Anolis sagrei: one gene and its partners. The protein of the gene in region 1 purifies or fractionates together with the protein of each later gene. This does not show direct contact. Links are inferred from orthologs where the notes say so. Each region holds a gene or a part of one and is shown on either strand. Other genes may lie near its edges.

Region 1 (7,552 bases):
ATTTAGACAAATGACCAGCCACCGCCAGAAGGGACAGAGAGTTTCACCTATGCTGATGATCGTGCCATTACCACTCAAGCAGGGAGCTTTGAGATGGTAGAACAGAAGCTCTTCGAAGCTCTAGGTGCCCTTACTGCCTATTACACGGAAAACCAGCTGATCCCTAACCCATCTAAAACACAGACATGTGCTTTTCATCTCCAGAACAGAGAAGCATCCCGAGCTCTGAAGATCACCTGGGAAGGAATCCCACTGGAGCATTGCAGCGCACCCAAATACATGGGAGTCACTCTGGACCATGCTCTGACCTACAAGACGCACTGCCTGAACATCAAGCAAAAAGTGGGCGCTAGAAACAATATCATACGAAAGCTGACTGGCACAACCTGGGGATCACAACCAGACACAGTGAAGACATCAGCCCTTGCACTATGCTACTCTGCTGCTGAGTATGCATGCCCAGTGTGGAAAACATCTCACCACTCTAAAGCAGTAGATGCGGCCTTAATGAAACATGCCGCCTTATCACGGGGTGTCTGCGCCCTACACCACTGGAGAAATTACACTGTTTAGCCGGTATTGCACCACCTGACATCTGCCGGGAAGTAGCAGCCAATAGTGAAAGGACCAAGGCAGAGACATCTCCAGCTCATCCCTTGTTTGGGTATCAGCCAGCACATCAATGACTTAAATCAAGAAATAGTTTTCTAAGATCTACAGAGACACTCGCTGGAACACCTCAGCAAACGAGAGTCCAAAAGTGGCAGGCTCAAACCCAGAACCTCAATCAATGGCTGATACCGAATGAGAGACTCCCCTCTGGGCACACAGAAAACTGGGCGACTTGGAAGGCTCTGAACAGACTGCGCTCTGGCACCACGAGATGCAGAGCCAACCTCAAGAAATGGGGCTACAAAGTGGAATCCACGACATGCGAGTGTGGAGAAGAGCAAACCACTGACCACCTGCTGCAATGCAACCTGAGCCCTGCCACATGCACACTGGAGGACCTCCTTGCAGCAACACCAGAAGCACTCCAAGTGGCCAGGTACTGGTCAAAGGACATTTAATAGAATACCAAGCTTGCAAACTCTGTTTTATCTGTTTGTTAAAAATTTGTTAAAATTGTAATCCAATTGTCTGGTTGATACTGACACGATAAATACCTGCCCAGAAATCAGTAGGCAGAGAGAGAGTTTCTGCAAGTGAAACAAACAGTAGAAGAAGAGAAACACGCACTGGCAGGTTATGTGAAAGCCAACATTGAGGGAAGACAGTAGTAGTAAACTGCATCAAGTGCAAAACACAAAGAGTGAATACCGTAAAAACAAAATCCAGAGCAGAAGAGAAAACTGGCAAAAGAAGGCTCTCCATGGACAGTTCCTGGGAAAAACTGAGAGCAAAATTGACAAAGAAGAAACATGGATGTGGCTCACAAGTGGAACTTTGAAAAAGAGACAAAGGGCCTGATTCTGGCAGCCCAAGAACAAGCCATTAGAACCAATGCCATCAAAAATTGAAAAGTCGACGGAGATCCCAAGTGTAGACGCTGCAAGGAAGCAGATGAAACAATAGATCCTCAGCTGCTACAAGAAGATCACGCACACGGACTACAAGCAGAGGCACAACACAGTTGCTCAGATGATTAATTGAAACTTGTGCCACAAATACCATCTGCCTGCGACAAATACCCAATAAACAATAATAATATTAACTTTATTAACTTTATTTATACCCCACAAAATCTCCCGAAGGACTCGATGCGGCTTACAAAGGCCAAGGCCGCCGACAACAACAACATACAATACACAATAAAACTCATAAGCAAATAATAAGCATCAAGCAAAACAATAAAACAGTAAAAAGATGACACCATGACGCAATTAAAACCTAAAGGCTGGGCCAAATGTAATAGACAAAATTTAAAAGTGCTGAACTTGACAGGTAATATGTAGAGGTATTTGGAGGTATGTGCAATGTGCAGATAACCCTGAATCTCTAACAAAGTGCATTTGGGACTTGATGCCGGGAGTTTCCTATTCTGGAAAGGCACACTGGAACAGCCAGGTCTTCAGGCTCTTCCTGAAGACTGCCATTGTTGGGGCTTGTCTGATGTCCCTGGGGAGAGAGTTCCAGAGTCGGGGGGCCACCACAGAGAAGACCCTGTCCCTCGTCCCCACCAGACGCGCTTGCGACGCAGGTGGGATCGTGAGCAGGGCCTCTCCAGATGATCGGAGGGAGCGTGCGGGTTCATAAACAGAGATGCGGTCACGCAGGTAGGCAGGTCCCAGACCGTTTAGGGCTTTGTAGGTAAGCACCTGCACCTTGAATTGGGTTCGGTAGGTAAACGGCAGCCAATGGAGCTCCTTAAATAGGAGGGTTGACCTCTCTCTGTTAGGAGCACCAGTTAACATCCTGGCTGCCGCCCGCTGGACCAGCTGAAATTTCCGAGCCGTTTTCAAGGGCAGCCCCATGTAGAGCGCATTACAGTAGTCCAATCTAGAGGTGACCAAGGCATGGACCACCCCAGCCAGATCAGCCTTTACGAGGTATGGTCGCAGTTGGCGCACGAGTCTCAATTGTGAAAAGGCCCTCCCGGACACCGCCTACGCCTGAGCCTCAAACGTAAGCGATGAATCCAAGAGGACTCCCAAACTGCGGACCTGTGACTTCAGGGGGAGTGTAACCCCAACACAGGCTGCCACCCTATACCCCAATCCGGTTTTCGATCGACCAGGAGGACCTTTGTCTTGACGGGATTAATCTTCAGCGTGGAAAATTATATAATAATAATAATATAAATATAATACTATACTAATAAATAAATATAATAAAATAATAAAATAAATATAATACTACAATAATAATAATAATAATTGTATATGATAAATAAATACCCGGATGACCCGGAAATGCTTCTTGCTGGTCTGTTGGTACAACTCTGACAATCTCTGGAAAACATAATCACAGTTCGGGTCCCGCCCAAAGCTGTATTCCGCATTCACGCAGTCTGCAAAGAGAGAACATTTGCATATCCAACTGCTCCATTTGCATATTTAAAAGAAAACAAGGCAAGTGTTTCCAAGTATATTATATATAGAGAATAAATATTAAATATAATGAAGAAATATCATGAATATAAATATAATAATATAAATAATAAAATACAATACTATTATAATGTGTAGTAATAATAATAGCAATGATATGAATGAGAGCGAGCCCTACTAACCGAGGTTGTGGAAGCCCGGGGAGAGGCCGAAGAGCCTTCCCCAGGCCTTGAGGCCTTGTCCGTTTCCTTCTCCTATTTCTCCTTCTTCTGGAATGGAGGGCAGCGGTTCCTGAGTGGGAAGCGTGTCTACAGAGCTCACCGTCGCCGAACTCGAGGAGCCCGAAGTGGACGAACTGGGGCCTTCCTCGGCCTTTACCTCGTGCGACATCTTCGGAGAATGAAGCACGGCCAGGGTTCCCGCTTATTTTTTATACCGGCACGTGACATGGCCCGCCTCAGCCAATCACAGCCCAAGTGAGGGCTTCCTGCAATGGCAGCCCATCCCTGAGAGGACCAATCAGTGATGGCTCTTACTGTCTTATTAAATCACTATTCGCTGTTTCCTTTAAACATGCGCAAAAAAGAATCTTTCCAAAGTTCGACCTGGAACTGGCTCTCTGAGGAGAATACTGCGCATGCGTCTGGTGTGCCGGAGGCGAATAAGTGAATCGCGCGCATGCGCAGAACAGTAGTTAAGTAAAATGTTGCAAAGCTGTAACTGGTTCTGAGAAAACGGCGCATGCGTTTATATGAACGGAGGCGAATAAGAGATTGGAGCGCATGCGCAGAACTGCAGAGTTCGCTCTGAGCGAACAGTACGCATGCGTGGACATCTAACAGAGGCCAAGAATCATAGAATCAAAGAGTTGGAAGAGACCTCATGGGCCATCCAGTCCAACCCCCTGCCAAGAAGCAGGAATATCGCATTCAAATCACCCCTGACAGATGGCCATCCAGCCTTTGTTTAAAAGCTTCCAAAGAAGGAGCCTCCACCACATTCCGGGGCAGAGAGTTCCACTGCTGAACGGCTCTCACAGTCAGGAAGTTCTTCCTCATGTTCAGATGGAATCTCCTCTCTTGTAGTTTGAAGCCATTGTTCCGCGTCCTAGTCTCCAAGGAAATAGAAAACAAGCTTGCTCCCTCCTCCCTGTGGCTTCCTCTCACATATTTATACATGGCTATCATATCTCCTCTCAGCCTTCTCTTCTTCAGGCTAAACATGCCCAGCTCCTTAAACCGCTCCTCATAGGGCTTGTTCTGCAGACCTTTAATCAAGAGATGGTTGACGCGAAAGCGCATGCGTTAATGTGTAACTGAAGTAAAGCCACCTGCACTCCTTATATTTTTATCGGCTTTATACAAACTTATGCAATGCTTTTGATACGAAATAAGGCACTAAATGGTGCGCATGCGCAGATCTGCGACTGAGGCTCATCAGAAACTGGTGCGCATGCGCAGACGTGTAACGGCCCTGAGGGCGACACCACGCATGCGCTCACCCCAAAAGGTCATTTCCCCCCGTCGTAAAGTCCTAGCGATGTGGTTGGGCGCGCTCCGGCGGGGCCTGAGGCCTTGGAGGGCGCTCTCGACGCGGGCCTGGCTCTCATGCTGGAGCTGCGGGCTCTCCCTGCCTCCCTCCGGCGCCCCGTGTCGCTTCTGCCCGTCCTGCCGCGCCCTGCAGCCCCCAGAACCCCAGCAGGACCTCTTCAGCGTCATGGGATGGTGAGGAAACGCCGAAACACGCCAAAAACTCCTATTCTCACGTTTCGCGGGAAATGGGAAGCGAGGACACGGATCTGGGCCGGTCCGAGCATGCGCAGTGTAGAAGGGATGCGTCGCTAAGGGCAACGCTCTAACCTCTCGAACCATCCAATGGGGGATGTCCCATTGGCAAGGGGCGTGGCCACGTGTCTCTTCTTTCCAAAGGGGCGTGGCGAGTGTCACTTTTCCTTTGTTAACCATATTCCTATGCTAAGGAGGGGGGCGTGGCTTTTAGAAGAAGGGGCTTATTTATCATGTCATCAGCAACCAGACCATTGTATTACATTTCTAACAGAACAAAACAAACAGATAAAAAAATAACACAGATCTTGCAAGCTTGGTAGTTGGTTAAATGTCCTTTGACCAGTATCTGGCCACTTGGAGTGCCTCTGGTGTTGCTGCAAGAAGGTCTTCCATTGTGCATGTGGCAGGGCTCTGGTTGCATTGCAGCAGGTGGTCAGTGGTTTGCTCCTCTCCGCACTCGCATGTTGTGGATTCCACTTTGTAACCCCATTTCTTAAGATTGGCTCTGCATCTCGTGGTGCCAGAGCGCAGTCTGTTCAGCTCCTTCCAAGTTGCCCAGTCCTCTGTGTGCCAAGGAGGGAGTCTCTCATCTCATATTATTATTATTATTATTATTATTATTAACATCTCCCGCAGGACTCGATGCGGCTTACAAAGGCCAAGGCCTCAACACAACAACAGCAAAACAGTAACAATACAATTTAAAGCAAATTAAAACATAAGCAATAACAAAACAATACATCAATTACGCAATAAAAACCAGGGCCGGGCCAGTGATGGGTACAGGTTAAAAAGTGCTGGGTGTGGCAGGAGGTATGTTGGATTTCCGGGCAAGTGCAATGTGCAGAGAGTCTTAAACTCTAATAAAGTGCTTCTGGGACGTAGTGCTGGAGGTTATCCTATTCCGGAAAGGCACATCAGAATAGCCAGGTCTTCAGGCTCTTCCTAAAGATTGCCAACATTGGGGCTTGTCTGATGTCCTTGGGGAGAGAGTTCCAGAGTCGGAGGGCCACCACAGAGAAGGCCCTGTCCCTCGTCACCACCAAATGCGCTTGCGACGCAGGTGGGATCGTAAGCAGGGCCTCTCCAGATGAACGAAGGGATCGCGTGGGTTCATACACGGAGATGCGGTCACGCAGGTAGGCAGGTCCCAAACCGTTTAGGGCTTGGTAGGTAAGCACCTGCACCTTGAATTGGGTTCGGTAGGTAAACGGCAGCCAATGGAGCTCCTTAAACAGAAGGGTTGACCTCTCTCTGTAAGGAGCGCCAGTTGACATCCTGGCCACCGCCCATTGAACCAGTTGGAATTTCCGAGCCGTTTTCAAGGGCAGCCCGACATAGAGCGCATTACAGTAATCCAATCTAGAGGTGACCAAGGCATGGACCACCCCAGCCAAATCAATCCATATGACCCATGGATTGAGGTGCTGGGCTTGAGCCTGCTACTTTTGGACCCTCGCTTGCTGAGGTGTTCCAGTAAGTGTCTCTGTAGATCTAAGAAAACTATTTTTTGATTTAAGTCGTTGATGTGCTGGCTGATACCCAAACAAGGGGTAAGCTGGAGATGTCACTGCCTTGGTCCTTTCACTATTTGTTGCTACTTCCTGGCGGATGTCAGGTGGTGCAATACCGGCTAAGCAGTGTAATTTCTTCAGTGGTGTAGGGCGCAGACACCCTGTGATAATGCGGCATGTCTCATTAAGAGCCACATCCACTGTTTTAGTGTGGTGAGATGTGTTCCACACTGGGCATGCATACTCAGCAGCAGAGTAGCATAGCGCAAGGGCAGATGTCTTCACTGTGTCTGGTTGTGATCCCCAGGTTGTGCCAGTCAGCTTTCATATATATTGTTTCTAGCGTCCACTTTTTGCTTGATGTTTAGGCAGTGCTTCTTGTAGGTCAGAGCACGGTCCAAAGTGACTCCCAGGTATTTGGGTGCGCTGCAATGCTCCAGTGGGATTCCTTCCCAGGTAATCCCCAGAGCTCGGGATGCTTGTGTTGTGTGTTATCAGCTAAAGGACGTGGTCTGTGACCAGGCGTGAGAACACTCGGAGGGCTTTCTCCACTGATAGTAGTTCTAGCGCTTTGATATGATTTTCCTGTTCCCGTGGGGACAAGTGTCTATGGATCATGACCCTTGCAGGTGGGCGCCCCAACCCCAGCAGAACGCAGCTGTTGTCAGTTATAGTGATGGCCGAGGGACCATCCCTGAGCAAACATTGGATCTCTTTGTCCACCTGGGCAGGGTCTGGAGCACCGATTGTGGTGGTTCCAGTACATGTTCTGTTGGTCAAGGAGCAGGTTGAACACTCGGAGGAACCTGGTTTGCAGATGCCGTAGCCTTAGTCGCGTGAACCTGGTGACAGTGGTGGTAGAGGCCGTGTGGCCCAAGATGCATGGCTCGTGGTGTGGAATTTGTTGATAATGGCCCACAGGTTGTGGAGCCGTTCCTCCAGGAGGTAGGACTTCTGTGTTGTGGAGTCTATAACAGCTCCGATGTTTGGGAGACGGATAGGACTTCTCTCAGTCAGCCACAAGGCCCAGAGCCAGCAGGAGAGACAAAGTGTATTGAATGTCAGACTGTAATTGCTCATGAGAGACAGGTGACTGTCATCAAAGTATGGGAAAATTATGACCTCTTGCTGTCGCAGGTAGGCTGCCACCATGGCCATGCATTTGGTAAATACTCGGGGCACATGGAGAGACCAAACAGGA
Region 2 (7,179 bases), on another chromosome or scaffold:
TCAAATAATAATAATAATAATAATAATAATAATAATAATGGAATCAGAAGGTTAAATAAACCCAGAAACAGGGCTAACATTGGAAACATAAAATGTGCATTGGCCAATGTAATTTCTATTTTTTATTGGCTTCTCTATTATTATTATTATTATTATCATTATTATTATCATTATTATTATTATTATTATTATTATTATTATTATTATTATTATTTTAGAAACACAACAAGATGAGTCCACAGCAGACACTCTGCTGGCTATTGTATTGGATCACACGTTGGACACTTCCCAAGTGTCTAGGAATTATTATTATTATTATTATTATTATTATTATGCAAAAGGATGCATTCATGGAACTGGTTTAAAGCAGCTTAACATCTACACTGCAGACTGAATGCAGTTTAACACCTTTTTAACTGCCACGGCAAGGCAATGAAAGCCCTGGGAGTTGCAGTTTTACAAAGAATGCAAACTACAGATCAAATTATTTCTATAGCAGCTAACGTGGTACCAAACGTCATTCATTCTACAGTGTAGAGATGCATCCAAGGTCTGCTCGGGGTTCTCTTATGACCTTGGAAGGATTAAAGAAACGGAACCAAATCATTGTTTCTCCACGAGATTCTGCAGATAGTAAGGTGCCAGTTATTCCTCCATTCAGTTAACTGAAAAACACAAAGTCAGCGGACCTGATGGGATCCCTGTTGAAATCTTTAAAGGTGGTAGACCTGAGCTGACACAACACCTCCAGCAGCTCAATCATTGTTTCTTCACGGGTTCTGCAGATAGCGAGTTGCCAGTTATTCCTCCATTCAATCATCTGAAAAATAACAAAGTCAACGGACCTGATGGGATCCCTGTTGAGATCTTTAAAGGTGGTGGACCTGAGCCTTCACAACAACTCCAGCAGCTCAAACATTGTTTCTTCATGGGTTCTGCAGAGAGCGAGTTGCCCGTTATTCCTCCATTCAATCACCTGAAAAATAACAAAGTCAGCGGACCTGATGGGATCCCTGTTGAAATCTTTAAAGGTGGTGGACCTGAGCTGACACAACAACTCCAGCAGCTCATTAAAAAAGTGTGGACGATCGAGAAAATCCCAGCAGGCTTCATCATCACCCGTCTCTGGTGTCATCTGTCTCCCTCCTCCCTGGTTTTGACGAAGGCCCCCATCTGCTTGGTATGGGTGTTCTGGAGCTGCTCCAGCTGCCTCTGTCCACGGCGGAGAAGGTACTCTACGAGCAGGACCTCTGTCCGTGGGATCTGTGCGTTCTGCCGGAACTCGGCTCGGATCTGCGGCAGGAAGCCCGGCTTGCCTTTCCCGGCCCGAAGGAAGCTGCGGTACAAGGACAGCACCTGCCTCTGGAGCTTACTGTGGCGGCCCATGGAGCAGCTCCTCCCAGTTGCAAGGATGGAGTGCTCCAGGTAAGCAAAGCCTGAGGAACAAAGACAAAGTGTCAGGATAAGAGTGAGGGGAATTAAATAGGCCAACCTGTATGTGTCGTTCTACTTTTAATACGTTTTGGAGATCTCAAATTGCATTGTTGTTAGGTTCTTGTGGGTCTTTTCGGGCTATAGAGCCATGTTCTAGAGGCATTTCTCCTGACGTTTCGCCTGCATCTATGGCAAGCATCGTCAGAGGTTGTGAGGTCTGTTGGAAGTAGGAAAAATGGGTTATATATCTGTGGAATGGCTGGGGTGGGGCAAGGAGCTCTTCCCTGCTGCAGTTAGGTGTGAATGTTTAGCTGATCACCTTCATTAGCATTTGAAGGCCTGCCTGAGCCTGGGAAAATCCGTTGCTGGGAGGTGCTAAACAACAGAGAGGAAAAAACCAGGCACAGATTAACACCTCCCAGCAACGGATTTTCCCAGGCTCAGGCAGGCCTTCAAATGCTAATGAAGGTGATCAGCTAAACATTCACACCTAACTGCAGTAGGAAAGAGCTCCTTGCCCCACCCCAGCCATTCCACAGATATATAACCCATTTTTCCTACTTCCAACAGACCTCACAACCTCTGAGGATGCTTGCCATAGATGCAGGCGAAACGTCAGGAGAGAATGCCTCTAGAACATGCCTCTATAGCCCGAAAAAAACCCACAAGAACCTAGTGATTCCAGCCATGAAAGCCTTCGACAATGCATTGTTGTTGTTTTTAATGTTGCGAATCACTTTGTATCTCCAATAATAATATAATAGCCCTTTTATTATTTGAATATCCGCCCTACAATAAGTAATAGCAGCCCTATAATAACAATAGAAGCTCTTTCATTATTTTAATAGCAGCCCTATAATAATAATAATAATAATAACAATAAGTCTCTTTATTATTTTAATAGCAACCCAATAATAGTAATAATAATATAATAGCCCTTTTATTAATTGAATACCAGTCCTACAATAATAATAAGTAGTATTAGCATCTCTGTAATAATAATAGAAGCTCTTTTATCACTTTAATTTTAATAGCAGCCTAATAATAATAATAATCCTTTTATGTTAATACCAGCCTAATAATAATAATAACTCTTTTATTATGTTAATACTAGCCTAAGAATAATAATTAGTAGCCCTCCTATTATTTTAATAGAGGCCTAATAATAATAACTTTTATTATGCTAATACTAGCCTAATAATACTAATTAGTAGCCCTTCTACTATTTTAATAGCAGCCTAATAATAATAATAATAATAGCCCAGGGATGTAGTAAATCCATATTGGCTGGCCTTCAGGATTTAGGGGGAAAGGGGTCAAGGGCAGGTCCATCATGCAACCTCATGGCAACCCCACCAGTCCCAGAGCTGGTCCTGCCCGTCCCTTCTCTTTGCCGGACTCCCACCCAGGCTGGCCCCCTTTGGGACCCCCTCCTGCCCTTCCCACCGGGCTCCCTTCTCGCTCACTCCTTCTCTCTTCCGGATTTCAGCTCCTAGGCAGGCCCAAGCCCGCCATTGCAGAAACCTTGGCGCGCCATCTGAGCCTCCTGCGCGCTTCCCATTGGCTCCCTGGCCCTAGAGGGGGCGTTCCCCAACTCTTGTCGCTCCGCCCATTCAAAGCACGTGTAGGCTTGGAGGCCCCGCCTATTTGGAATCATAGAATCCTAGAGTTGGAAGAGTCCAATCCCATTCTGCCAAGAAGCAGGACAATTGGGTTGTTGTAGGTTTTTCCGGGCTATATGGCCATGTTCTAGAGGCATTTTCTCCTGACATTTCGCCTGCATCTATGGCAAGCATCCTCAGAGGTGTATTGGAAGTAGGAAAATGGGTTTATATATCTGTGAAAAGACCAGGGTGGGACAAAGGACTCTTGTCTGCTGGAGCTAGGTGTGAATGTTTCAACTGACCACCTTGATTAGCATTTGATTGCCTGGCAGTGCCTGGAGCAAACTTTGTGTTGAGAGGTGATTAGCAGGACAATTGCGTTCAAAGCACCCCCGACAGATGGCCATCCAGCCTCTGTTTCAAAGCCTCCACCACACTCCGGGGCAGAGAGTTCCACTGCTGAACAGCTCTCAGAGTCAGGAGGTGATTAGCAGGACAATTGCGTTCAAAGCACCCCCGACAGATGGCCATCCAGCCTCTGTTTCAAAGCCTCCACCACACTCCGGGGCAGAGAGTTCCACTGTTGAACAGCTCTCACAAAGTTCTTCCTAATGTTCAGGTGGAATCTCCTTTCGTGTAGTTTGAAGACATTGTTCCATTGTGTCCTAGCCTCCAGGGCCTCCCTCCTCCCTATGACTTCCTCTCACATCTTGATCCATGGCCCTCATCATGTCTCCTTTCAGCCTTCTCTTCTGAAGTCTAAACATGCCCAGCTCTCTTTAAGCCGCTCCTCATAGGGCTTGTTCTCCAGATCCGTGACCATTTGAGTCACCCTCCTCTGGACACATTCCAGCTTGTCAACATCTCTCTTGAATTGTGGTGCCCAGAATTGGACACAATATTCCAGGTGTGGTCTAACCAAAGCGGAATCGAGCATGGGGAGCAGGACTTCCCTGGATCTAGACACTATGCTCCTCTTGATGCAGGCCAACATCCCATTGGCTTTTTTTGCCACTACATCACATTGTTGGCTCATAAGGCATTGAAGGCATTGTTCCATTGCATCCTAGTCTCTGTTGTTCATTCTTTCATTCGTCTCCGACTCTTCGTGACCTCATGGACCAGCCCACGCCAGAGCTCCCTGTCGGCCGTCACCACCCCCAGCTCCCTCAAGGTCAGTCCAGTCACTTCAAGGTCTCTAGGGCAGTAGAAAACAAGCTTGCTCCCTCCTCCCTATGACTTCGCCTCATATCCAGCCTCTGTTTCAAAGCCTCCACCACACTCCGGGGCAGAGAGTTCCACTGCTGAACAACTCTCAGAGTCAGGAAGTTCTTCCTCATGTTCAGGTGGAATCTCCTTTCCTCTATTTTGAAGCCATTGTTCCATTGTGTCCTAGTCTCCAGGGAAACAGAAAACAAGCTTGCTCCCTCCTCCCTATGACTTCCCCTCACATATTTATACATGGCCCTCATCATGTCTCCTCTCAGCCTTCTCTTCTTCAGGCATTTTGGGTGAACTGCCTAATAATTTCACAAACCCCGATGACATCTAGGCATTTGATAATGCAACAATGTTAACAGTTCTAATCACAGAGGAGGAGGGTTTTTGGTGGGAGGATTCCACCAAATGATTTTAGTCGCTCTCCTCTGGACACATTCCAGCTTTGTCAACATCTCCCTTCAATTGTGGTGTCCAGAATTGGATGCAGTGTGATTCCAGGCAGAATAGAGCATGACTTCCCTGGTTCTGGACACTCGACTCCTATTGACGCAGGCCAAAATCTGTCTTCTCCTGCACAGAAACCCTGAGGGCACCTAGACGGTCCTAACAATGGGTTGTTGTAGATTTTTTCGGCCTCTATGGCCATGTTCTAGAGGCATTCTCTCCTGACATTTCGCCTGCATCTATGGCAAGCATCCTCAGAGGTAGTGAGGACTGTTGGAACTAGGAAAATTGGGTTTATATATCTGTGGAAAGACCAGAGTGGGACAAAGAACTCTTGTCTGCTGGAGCTGGGTGTGAATGTCTCAACTGACCACCTTGATTAGCATTTGATGGCCTGGCAGTGCCTGGAGCAATCTTTTGTTGAGAGGTGATTAATGTTCCTGATTGTTTCCTCTCTGTTGTTTTGCTGTTTTAATTTTAGAGTTTTTTTAATACTGGTAGCCAGATTTTGTTCATTTCCATGGTTTCCTCCATTCTGTTGAAATTGTCCACATACTTGTGGAATTCAATGGTTTCTCTGTGTAGCCTGACATGGTGGTTGTGAGAGTGGTCCTCACAATATTGCTGGACATAGGAGATTGGCTTTACATAATGTGATAGGCTTTATGGCTCCTAAACTATAGAATTAATGCAGTTTGAACTACCTTGGCTTTTTAAGTTGGCTTTTAAGATAATTTCAGGGGGTCCTGGGGTAATAATAATAATAATAATAATAATGAACAACTTTGGGTTGCTGTGAGTTTTCCAGGCTGCCTAGCCATGTTCCAGAAGCATTCTCTCCTGACCTTTCGCCCAGTTCTACGGCAGGCATCCTCAAAAGTTGTGAGGTCTGTCGGAAACTACAACTCCCATCATTCCATAGCTTTGAGCCAAGGCAGTTCCAAATGGGATCATAGAAGACCTAGAGCATGAAAGGACCCACAAAAGCCACCTTTCTGCCAGGCAGGAAGATACCATCTGATCCCTCCTAGCAGATGGCCATCCAGCCTCTGCTTAAAAACCTCCAGAGGGCAATCCAACACACTCCCAGGCAACAGCATATTCTAGCATGCATACATACATACAGTGGGGGGGGGGGAGTATTTAGTTAGATAGGAATTGTACAAGTTCTCCCACTTAAAAAGATGAGATATTGTCTCTCATAGTTGAGGTCTACCTAAGATGTCAATCACAGGCCTCTCTCATATTTTTAAGTGGGAGAACTTGTACAATTCCTATCTGACTAAATACTTTTTCCCCCACTGTACACACACACACATATCTAAAAGGTAAAGGTTTCCCTTTGCTGTTAAGTCCAGTCATGTCCGACTCTAGGGGTTGGTGTTCATCTCCATTTCTAAGTCGAAGAGCCAGCATTGTCCACAGTCACCTCCAAGGTCATGTGGCCAGCATGACTATCTGGAGGTCCTGTTACCTTCCCGCAGAAGTGGCATCTATTGATCTACTCACATCTGCATGTATACGAACCCACACAATATCTTTGTTCATCTGGAGAGGCCCTGCTCTTGATCCCGCCAGCATCGCAGGCGCGATTGGTGGGGATGAGAGGGCCTTTTCGGTGGTGGCCCCTCGACTCTGGAACTCACTCCCTAAGGACATCAGACAGGCCCCAACTCTGGCAGTTTTCAGGAGGAGTTTGAAGACGTGGTTGTTCCAGTGTGCCTTCCCGGATTAATGATCCCATAGCACTTTGTCCCGCTAAAGCACTTTACATTTTTTAGGTCTGCCCATATGTCTCTCCACAAACACCACTATCACCTGTTCGTCCATGTTCAGCACTATTTACAATTTTAATTTTACATTTGGCCTTCCCATAGTTTTAATTGTATGTTGTCTTATTGATAATGTTATATGTTTATGTTTTATTTTAATTGCTTATATTGTTGTGATTATTGCTTGTATTGTGTGTTCGGGCTCGGCCTCATGTAAGCTGCACTGAGTCCCTTGGGGAGATGGTAGTGTTGTTAAATAAAGTGTTGATATTATTATTATGTTTTCATACTGCTAGGTTGGCAGAAGCTGGGGCAACAGTGGGAGCTCACCCGCTCCCTGGATTCGGACCGTCGGCCTTTTGGTCAGCAAGTTCCACAACTCAGTGGTTTAACCAAAACCTTTGGATGGCATAGGGAAGGGTTTACATGCCTGTGGTGTTTGTTTTGCTATCTGTGCCCTTCAGCTTTCACTGCCTGAACATCAAACAAAAAGTGGGTGCTAGAAACAATATCATACAAAAGCTGACTGGCACAACCTGGAGATCACAGCCAGACACAGTGAAGACATCTCCCCTTTGCTACTCTGCTGCTGAGTACGCATGCCCAGAGTGGAACACATCTCACCACGCTAAAACAGTAGATGTGGCTCTTAATGAGACATGCCGCATTATCACGGGATGTCTGCGCCCTCCACCACTGGAGAA
Region 3 (7,151 bases), about 30 Mb from region 1:
GTGATGAAGCCCATTTTCATTTGTGTGGATCCATCAACAAACAAAACATGCGCTACTGGGCTGACAACAATCCTCGAGAATTGCATCAAAAGCCTTTGCATTCACCTAAAATCACAGTGTGGTGTGCAATTTCCTCAGCTGGAATTATTGGTCCCTGGTTCTTTGAGGAAAATGAAATTGCAGTGACAGTTAATTCGGACTGGTATGTAAACATGTTACAGGAATTTTTTTCCTAAGGCTAGATGGGTTGGATTTAGGGGACATTTGGTTCCAACAAGACGGTGCAACTGAACACAATTCAAAAGCATCTATGGCTGTTTTGAGGGAACACTTCCCAGAGCGCCTCATCTCAATTAGGGGGGATTTGGAGGGGCTGGCCCGCTCTCCAGATTTGGCCCCTTGTGATTTTTTTTCTATGGAGTTTTTTGAAATCCCGTGTTTATGTGAACCCTCCAAGGACCCTACAAGATTTGAAGACCAACATCCAGGAAGAAATTGCCAACATAACGCCTGCTATGCTGGCAAGAGTCATGACAAATGCTAGAAATCAGTTTACTCAGTGTATGGAGAATGGGGGACATCACCTACCTAATTTGATCTTCAAAACTACGTAAAACAAAACTTTAGGTATGCACCTACATTATAAAAAAATTCTGATTCATACAATGGGTTTTATTAAGTTTTGAAAAAAGGAAGTTATGGTGCTTCACCCTGTATATCTGTGAAATAATGTCCAAGGTGGGAGAAAGAACTCTTGACTGTTTGAGGCAAGTGTGAATGTTGCCACTTGCCAGCTTGATTAGCATTGAATAGCAGTTTCAAATCCTGGCAGCTTCCTGCCTGGTTGGGAGGTGTTTGCTGACCCTGATTGCTTCCTTTCTGGATTTCCCCTGTTTATTAGAGTTGTTCTTTATTTACTGTCCTGATTTCAGAGTGTTTTAATACTTGTATCCTGATTTTGTTCATATTCATGGTTTCTTTCTTTCTGTTGAAATTGTTCACGTGCTTCTTGTGGATTTCAATGGCTTCTCTATGTAGTCTAACACAGAGATAGTGGAGGTATTGTGGGGTAAAAATGCAGTAAATAAAATAATATATATATACACACACAATGTATATAATTACATTATGTATTTATATACATTATGTATATATATATATATTATTTATAGATATTTATATACATATTATTATACTTACATTGGTGATAGTATGATAGCTGGGTCCAGAAGCTCCGAGCGTTACGCACATTCCGCAATGGCGGTTGTGAATAAGGGAAGGGGAGATCGGCACACTGAGGGTGGGACTATACTTCGTAGTTACATTTGGTGGAAGGATAGAATGGAGGGGAAGGTTAGGATAAGGTAAGGGTTAGGAATAGGGTTTGGGGTCAGGTAAGGATTAGGATTAGGGTTAAGGTAAGGTTTAGGGTTTGGGTTAGGGTAAGGTTTAGGGTTCGAGTAAATAAATAAATAAATAAATACCATTAAAGAACTCTTACATGCCTTCTATAATATTTGTGTTCCGTTTTGCGTTGCGCAAACAGCGCTCCCGAAGGAGCAAAGCGGAAACAGTGTAACACTCTGAGCTTCCAGACCCAGCCTTCATACTATTCCCCTTACATTTATATTATATAGATAACATGTATAATTATATTATTTTTATATTATTTTATATATTATATTAATATTGTAAAATATAAGGCTATTAAGGTTATCCATTAAATGTATATATTATTTATATATGATTATTAGTTATATTTTAATATCATTATTCATACTATTATATCTCTGATCTCTAGATTGAGGCATATTTTTTTAAAAAACCATGACATTGAAAACCTGCATCAAACAGAAGGAGGCATTGGAAGTTGGATGCAATGCAAGCCATGCTTCCTCAGGGGGCGTGGTCTCCCATCGCGAAGCCCCGCCCCGCGCGAAGCCCCGCTCCGGGGCCCTCACCTGCTCTTCCAAGCGCTGAATTTCAGCCTGGTTCTCCTTTTCCTCGTCGGCCTCCGAGGAGTCTTCGGACTCCAGTTCCTCGTCCCCTTCCGAGCCTCCTGCGGCCCACAACGACGCCTCAGCTTCGCCGCCGTCCGCCATCTTTCTCCGCCGTTAAGCCCTTTCAGCTGTCTAATCCACTGCCTGACGGGAAATGACGCGACTGTTTTGGCCGCCTGCATCTTTCCAGCAAGCGGTCCGTTAGACGCCTCTGCTTGGGGGCTTGAAGGAAGGTCAAACTATGTCCTTTCCGGAAGCACGGCTTAGGATGCCGGGGCGGCCATCAAGAGTGTGTCAGTTTCCTTGTCCTTCAATGGCAGCCTATGCTTGCTGGCCCTTGAAAGAAGCATAGTAACAATAAAAATATGCCAATATTAATCAAATAAGAAGAAGAATTCTTCCAACTCTCAACAAGGATGGGATCGATTTTAATCTTTCCATGTTGCGGATTTTAAATTGTACTTTAATGTGATTTTATTATTAATATCATTCCAATAATAATAATAATAATATGACGTGTGATCCAATATATCAGCCAGCAGAGTGATCTTGTCTGCTGTGGACTCATCTTGTTATGTTTCAAAGATCGATGCTTTTGAGCTGTGGTGTTGGAGGAAAGTGCTGAGAGTGCCTTGGACTGCGAGAAGATCCAACCAGTCCATCCTCCAGGAAATAAAGCCCAACTGCTCACTGGAGGGAAAGATACTAGAGACAAAGTTGAAGTACTTTGGTCACATCATGAGGAGACAGGAAAGCCTAGAGAAGACAATTATGCTGGGGAAAGTGGAAGGCAAAAGGAAGAGGGGCCGACCAAGGGCAAGATGGATGGATGGCATCCTTGAAGTGACTGGACTGACCTTAAGGGAGCTGGGGGTGGTAACGGCCGACAGGGAGCTCTGGCGTAGGCTGGTCCATGAGGTCACGAAGAGTCGGAGACGACTGAACGAATGAACATTAGTATTATCATTATTGGAATATTAATATTTATTATCACATTAAAGATTCTTAATTGTAATTTAATGTGATATTATTATTAATAATGCAATAATAATAATAGTACAATAATATTGGAATAATACTGTTATTATTATTGGAATATTATTATTAATATATTATTCAAATTAATATTACTAATAATATTAATAATGATAATTCCATTAATAATAATTCCAAGTCCCAGCAAACACACGATGAATGTTAATCTTTGTATGTTGTGAACTTTAAACTTTATTTTCATGTGATATGCTTGCTGGGGCTTGGAATCATTATTAGAATCATAATAATATTGGAAAAATTTTATATTTATTTATTTATTTATTTATTTGATGCATTTATTAACCGCCATTCTCAGCCCTTTAGGGCGACTCATGGCGGTGTACAACACATATAAAAAGGCAATTTACAAAGAGGCAATTACAACAACATATTAACAATACAACAATTACAAAAATTACACTAAAAATCCGCTTCGTCTCATAGTGGAATCATAACCAATCTCATATTCCTTGTTCCTTTCCAGTCGTCTTTACCACATTTTTATAGCACTTAATTAAATGCCTTCTCGAACAGCCATGTCTTAAGGCTTTTTCGGAAGGACATAAGGGAGGGCGCCTGTCTGATGTCTGCAGGGAGAGTCATTCTTTAGAGTCATTCATTATAGTCATTCTTAGAATGATAATATCACATTAAAATACAATTTAAAATCCGCAACATACAAAGATTATTATTATTCAAATAACATTATTAATAATCTATTATTATCCCAATAAAATTAATATATTGGAATAATATTATTAATAATATAACATTAAAGTACAGTTCAAAATCCACAACATACAAAGATTAACCTCGACCCTGTACTTGGTGGGACTTGGAATTATTGTTATTGGAATAATAATATTGGAAGTTTGAGAAAAGAACCTCTGGAAGGTAAAGGCTTAACTCCTGACCGCGTTTCCCCCCCCCCCCCCCCCTTTTGCTGGGCTTAGCGAAGGGAGTGACGACACAAGGAGGCGTGACCTATGGCGCCCTTGCGGCTCTTCCCCTGGCGGCCACGCCCCCGGGGGCCACGCCCCCGTTGCCCTCCACTGTCCTCTGTTCAAAACATTCAAGATGGCGGCGCTTCGGGCAAGCAGCGTGCGCAGCGCGGCGGCAGCCCTTCTGCGGCCTCGCCCGGGCCCGGCCTCCACCTCCCTGGTCGCGGGCTACCACGAGAAGGTGAGCCCGAGGCTTCCTCCGCTTCTAGGCCCAAAAGAAAGCTCGGCCTCGCTGGCCTTTGGAAGCCCCTTCTTGGCATTTGGGACTTCGAGTCCCAGAAGCCTCGGCTGCCTTGGCCTGTGGCCGAGCATTCTGGGAGCAGCAGTCCCAAGCACTTTGGAGGCCGGGGAAACTAGTTAGGGTCAGGAAAGATATTGGACACATCTTGTAGGATATTTGTGCGCATGCGCCGCTCAGAGCCTTCTTTGGGAGAGAAGAAAAGGGATAGTAATAATGCTAGTGATGATAATCATAATAATTATGATAACAATCATAATAATATAATAATAATGGTAATACTACTGGTTATGATAATGGTAATAAATACTAATCATAAGAATGATAATATTGATGATAAAAATTATAGTAATAATACTGATGATGATATTGCTAATAATACTGATGATAATGGTAATAATAATGATAATTGTACTACTACTGATGATAATAATGGTAATCCTGATGATGATAATGTAATACTGATTATGAAGATGATAAGTATAATGGTAATAATACTGGTGGTAATAATGTTAATGGTACTAATACTGACGATAATAGTAATGGTAATAATAGTGTTTGTTGTTGTTGTTATTTGTTCAATCACTTCCGACTCTTTGTGAACTCAAGCTCCCTGTCGGCCGTGGCCACCCCCAGCTCCTTCAAAGTTAAGCCAGTCACTTCAAGGATAACATCCATCCATCTTGCCCTTCGTTGGCCCCTTCCATTTTTCCCAGCATGATTGTCTTCTCCACGTTTTCCTGTCCTTTCATGATGTGGCCAAAGGACTTCATCTTTGCCTCTAATATCCTTCCCTCCAGTGAGCAGTCGGGCTTTATTTCCTGGACTACGGACTGGTTTGATCTTCTCACGGTCCAAGCCACTCTCAGAATTTTCCTCCAACACCACAGTTCAAAAGCATCTATCTTCCTTCACTCAGCCTTCCTTATGGTCAACCTCTCACATCCATATAATGCAATTGCTTTAACTATGCGGATCTTTGTGGCTAGTGTGATGTCTCTACTCTTCACTATTTATTGAGATTGATCATTGCTCTCCTCCCAAGAAGTAAATGTCTTCTGATTTCCTGGCTGCAGCCTGCATCTGCAGTAATCTTCGTGCCTAGAAATACAAAGTCTGTCACTGTCTCCACATTTTCTCCCTCTATTTGCCAGTTATCAATCAGTCTGGTGGCCATAATCTTGGTTTTTTTATGTTTAACTGCAACCCAGTTTTTGCACTGATGATGATGGTAATAATAATGATAATGGTACTAATGCTGACAGCAATAATAATGGTAATAATACTGATAATGATAATGAAAATGTTACTAATACTGACTATGATGATGATGATGATGATAATATTGATGATGGTAATAATGATAATGGTTCTAATGCTGATGATTATGTTAATGATAATAGTTCCTAATTGCATCTAGATTGAGCCCATAGACTGCGATGAGGACAGTTCCTCTTCCACTTGCTGAAATATATTACTAATATCCCTAATAAATAATAGCCAGGCCTCTTTTTCGGGGCTGCCCATGTGGAAGGGAAGCCCTAACTGGTAGGGCAGCACCAGGTTGGTTTGGCTTGAAAGTAATAGGCCCAAGTGGATCCTTGGAATGACTGTGGTGGGCCTTCATGTGGCACAACCATGAACCTGGGACCCCAGGTCTCAGCGGTGGCCGGGGGAGCATTCGCACAATTATAACCTGTGCGCCAGCTGTGCCCATATCTTGGGAGGTCTGACTTGGCCACGGTAGTTCACGTTCTGGTTATTTATTATTTACATTATTTCTATCCCGCCCATTTCAGCCTGAAGGCGATTCAGGGCGGTATACACAGTCGGCACAATTCGATGCCGAAACAAAATACATACATTGATAAAGCAAAAACATCAAGTGGAATTAAACATAAACGACAGTGCATAATAAACAATTTAAAAAGAGACTATGTCCTGTCATTCAAATCTTCATCGATTACATTGTCTTGGCCGTTCCTGGGTCAATTTCCAACTCTAGTTTGTCTGTTTACTCCGGGGTTCCGAATGCTTGCTCGGAGAGCCAAGTTTTTACTCTTTTTCGGAAAGTCAGGAGGAAGGGGGCTGATCTAATATCCCTAGGGAGGGAGTTCCACAGCCGGGGGGCCACCACAGAGAATGCCCTGTCTCTCGTCCCCGCCAGACGTGCTTGCGAAGCAGGCGGGATCGAGAGCAGGGCCTCCCCAGACTATCTTAAGTTCCTGGGGGGTTCGTAGGGAGAGATGCATTCAGATAGATAGACTGGGCCAGAACCATTTAGGGCTTTATAGGCTAAAGCCAGCACTTTGAATTGAGCCCGGTAGCAGACTGGCAGTGAGTGGAGCTGATTCAACAGAGGAGTTGTATGCTCCCTGAGCCCCGCTCCTGTTAGCAACCTGGCTACCGCACGCTGGACCATTTGAGGCTTCCGGGCCGTCTTCAAAGGCAACCCCACGTAGAGCGCATTGCAGTAATCTATACGGGATGTAACCAGAGCGTGGACCACCGTAGCCAAGTCAGACTTCCCAAGGTACGGGTGCAGCTGGCGCAAAAGTTTTAATTGTGCAAATGCTCCCCTGGTCACTGCCGAAACCTGGACATCCAGGCTCAGCGATGAATCCAGGATCACACCCAAGCTGCGAACCTGCGTCTTCAGGGGGAGTGTAACCCCGTCTAACACAGGCTGTAACCCTATGCCCTGTTCGGCCTTTCGACTGACCAGGAGTACCTCTGTCTTGTCTGGATTCAATCTCAATTTTTTAGCCCTCATCCAGTCCGACACAGCGGCCAAGCACCGGGTCAGGACCTGAACAGCCTCCTTAGTAGCAGGTGGAAAGGAGTGACAGAGTTGGACATCATCTGCATACAGATAAC

What was found.
Region 2: the proteins of HSCB (region 1) and SDHAF1 purify together in Homo sapiens (co-immunoprecipitation; 3 studies listed by BioGRID and IntAct, with this or other methods). This does not show direct contact. The link is inferred for Anolis sagrei from reciprocal best matches to the Homo sapiens genes HSCB and SDHAF1.
Region 3: the proteins of HSCB (region 1) and ISCU purify together in Homo sapiens (affinity purification with western blotting; 3 studies listed by BioGRID and IntAct, with this or other methods). This does not show direct contact. The link is inferred for Anolis sagrei from reciprocal best matches to the Homo sapiens genes HSCB and ISCU.

The regions. Positions count from the first base shown.
Region 1 is NC_090034.1:60,325,993-60,333,544, reverse strand, and holds the start of HSCB (iron-sulfur cluster co-chaperone protein HscB), read left to right. Parts: upstream 1-4,518; 5' UTR 4,519-4,541; coding exon 4,542-4,774; intron 4,775-7,552. Other genes in the region: CHEK2 (serine/threonine-protein kinase Chk2), read right to left, coding at 2,898-3,010, 3,233-3,440.
Region 2 is NC_090035.1:77,676,241-77,683,419, forward strand, and holds the start of SDHAF1 (succinate dehydrogenase assembly factor 1, mitochondrial), read right to left. Parts: upstream 3,012-7,179; 5' UTR 2,901-3,011; intron 1,437-2,900; 5' UTR 1,387-1,436; coding exon 1,132-1,386; 3' UTR 1-1,131.
Region 3 is NC_090034.1:29,967,750-29,974,900, reverse strand, and holds the start of ISCU (iron-sulfur cluster assembly enzyme ISCU), read left to right. Parts: upstream 1-4,080; 5' UTR 4,081-4,112; coding exon 4,113-4,217; intron 4,218-7,151. Other genes in the region: SART3 (squamous cell carcinoma antigen recognized by T-cells 3), read right to left, coding at 1,962-2,102.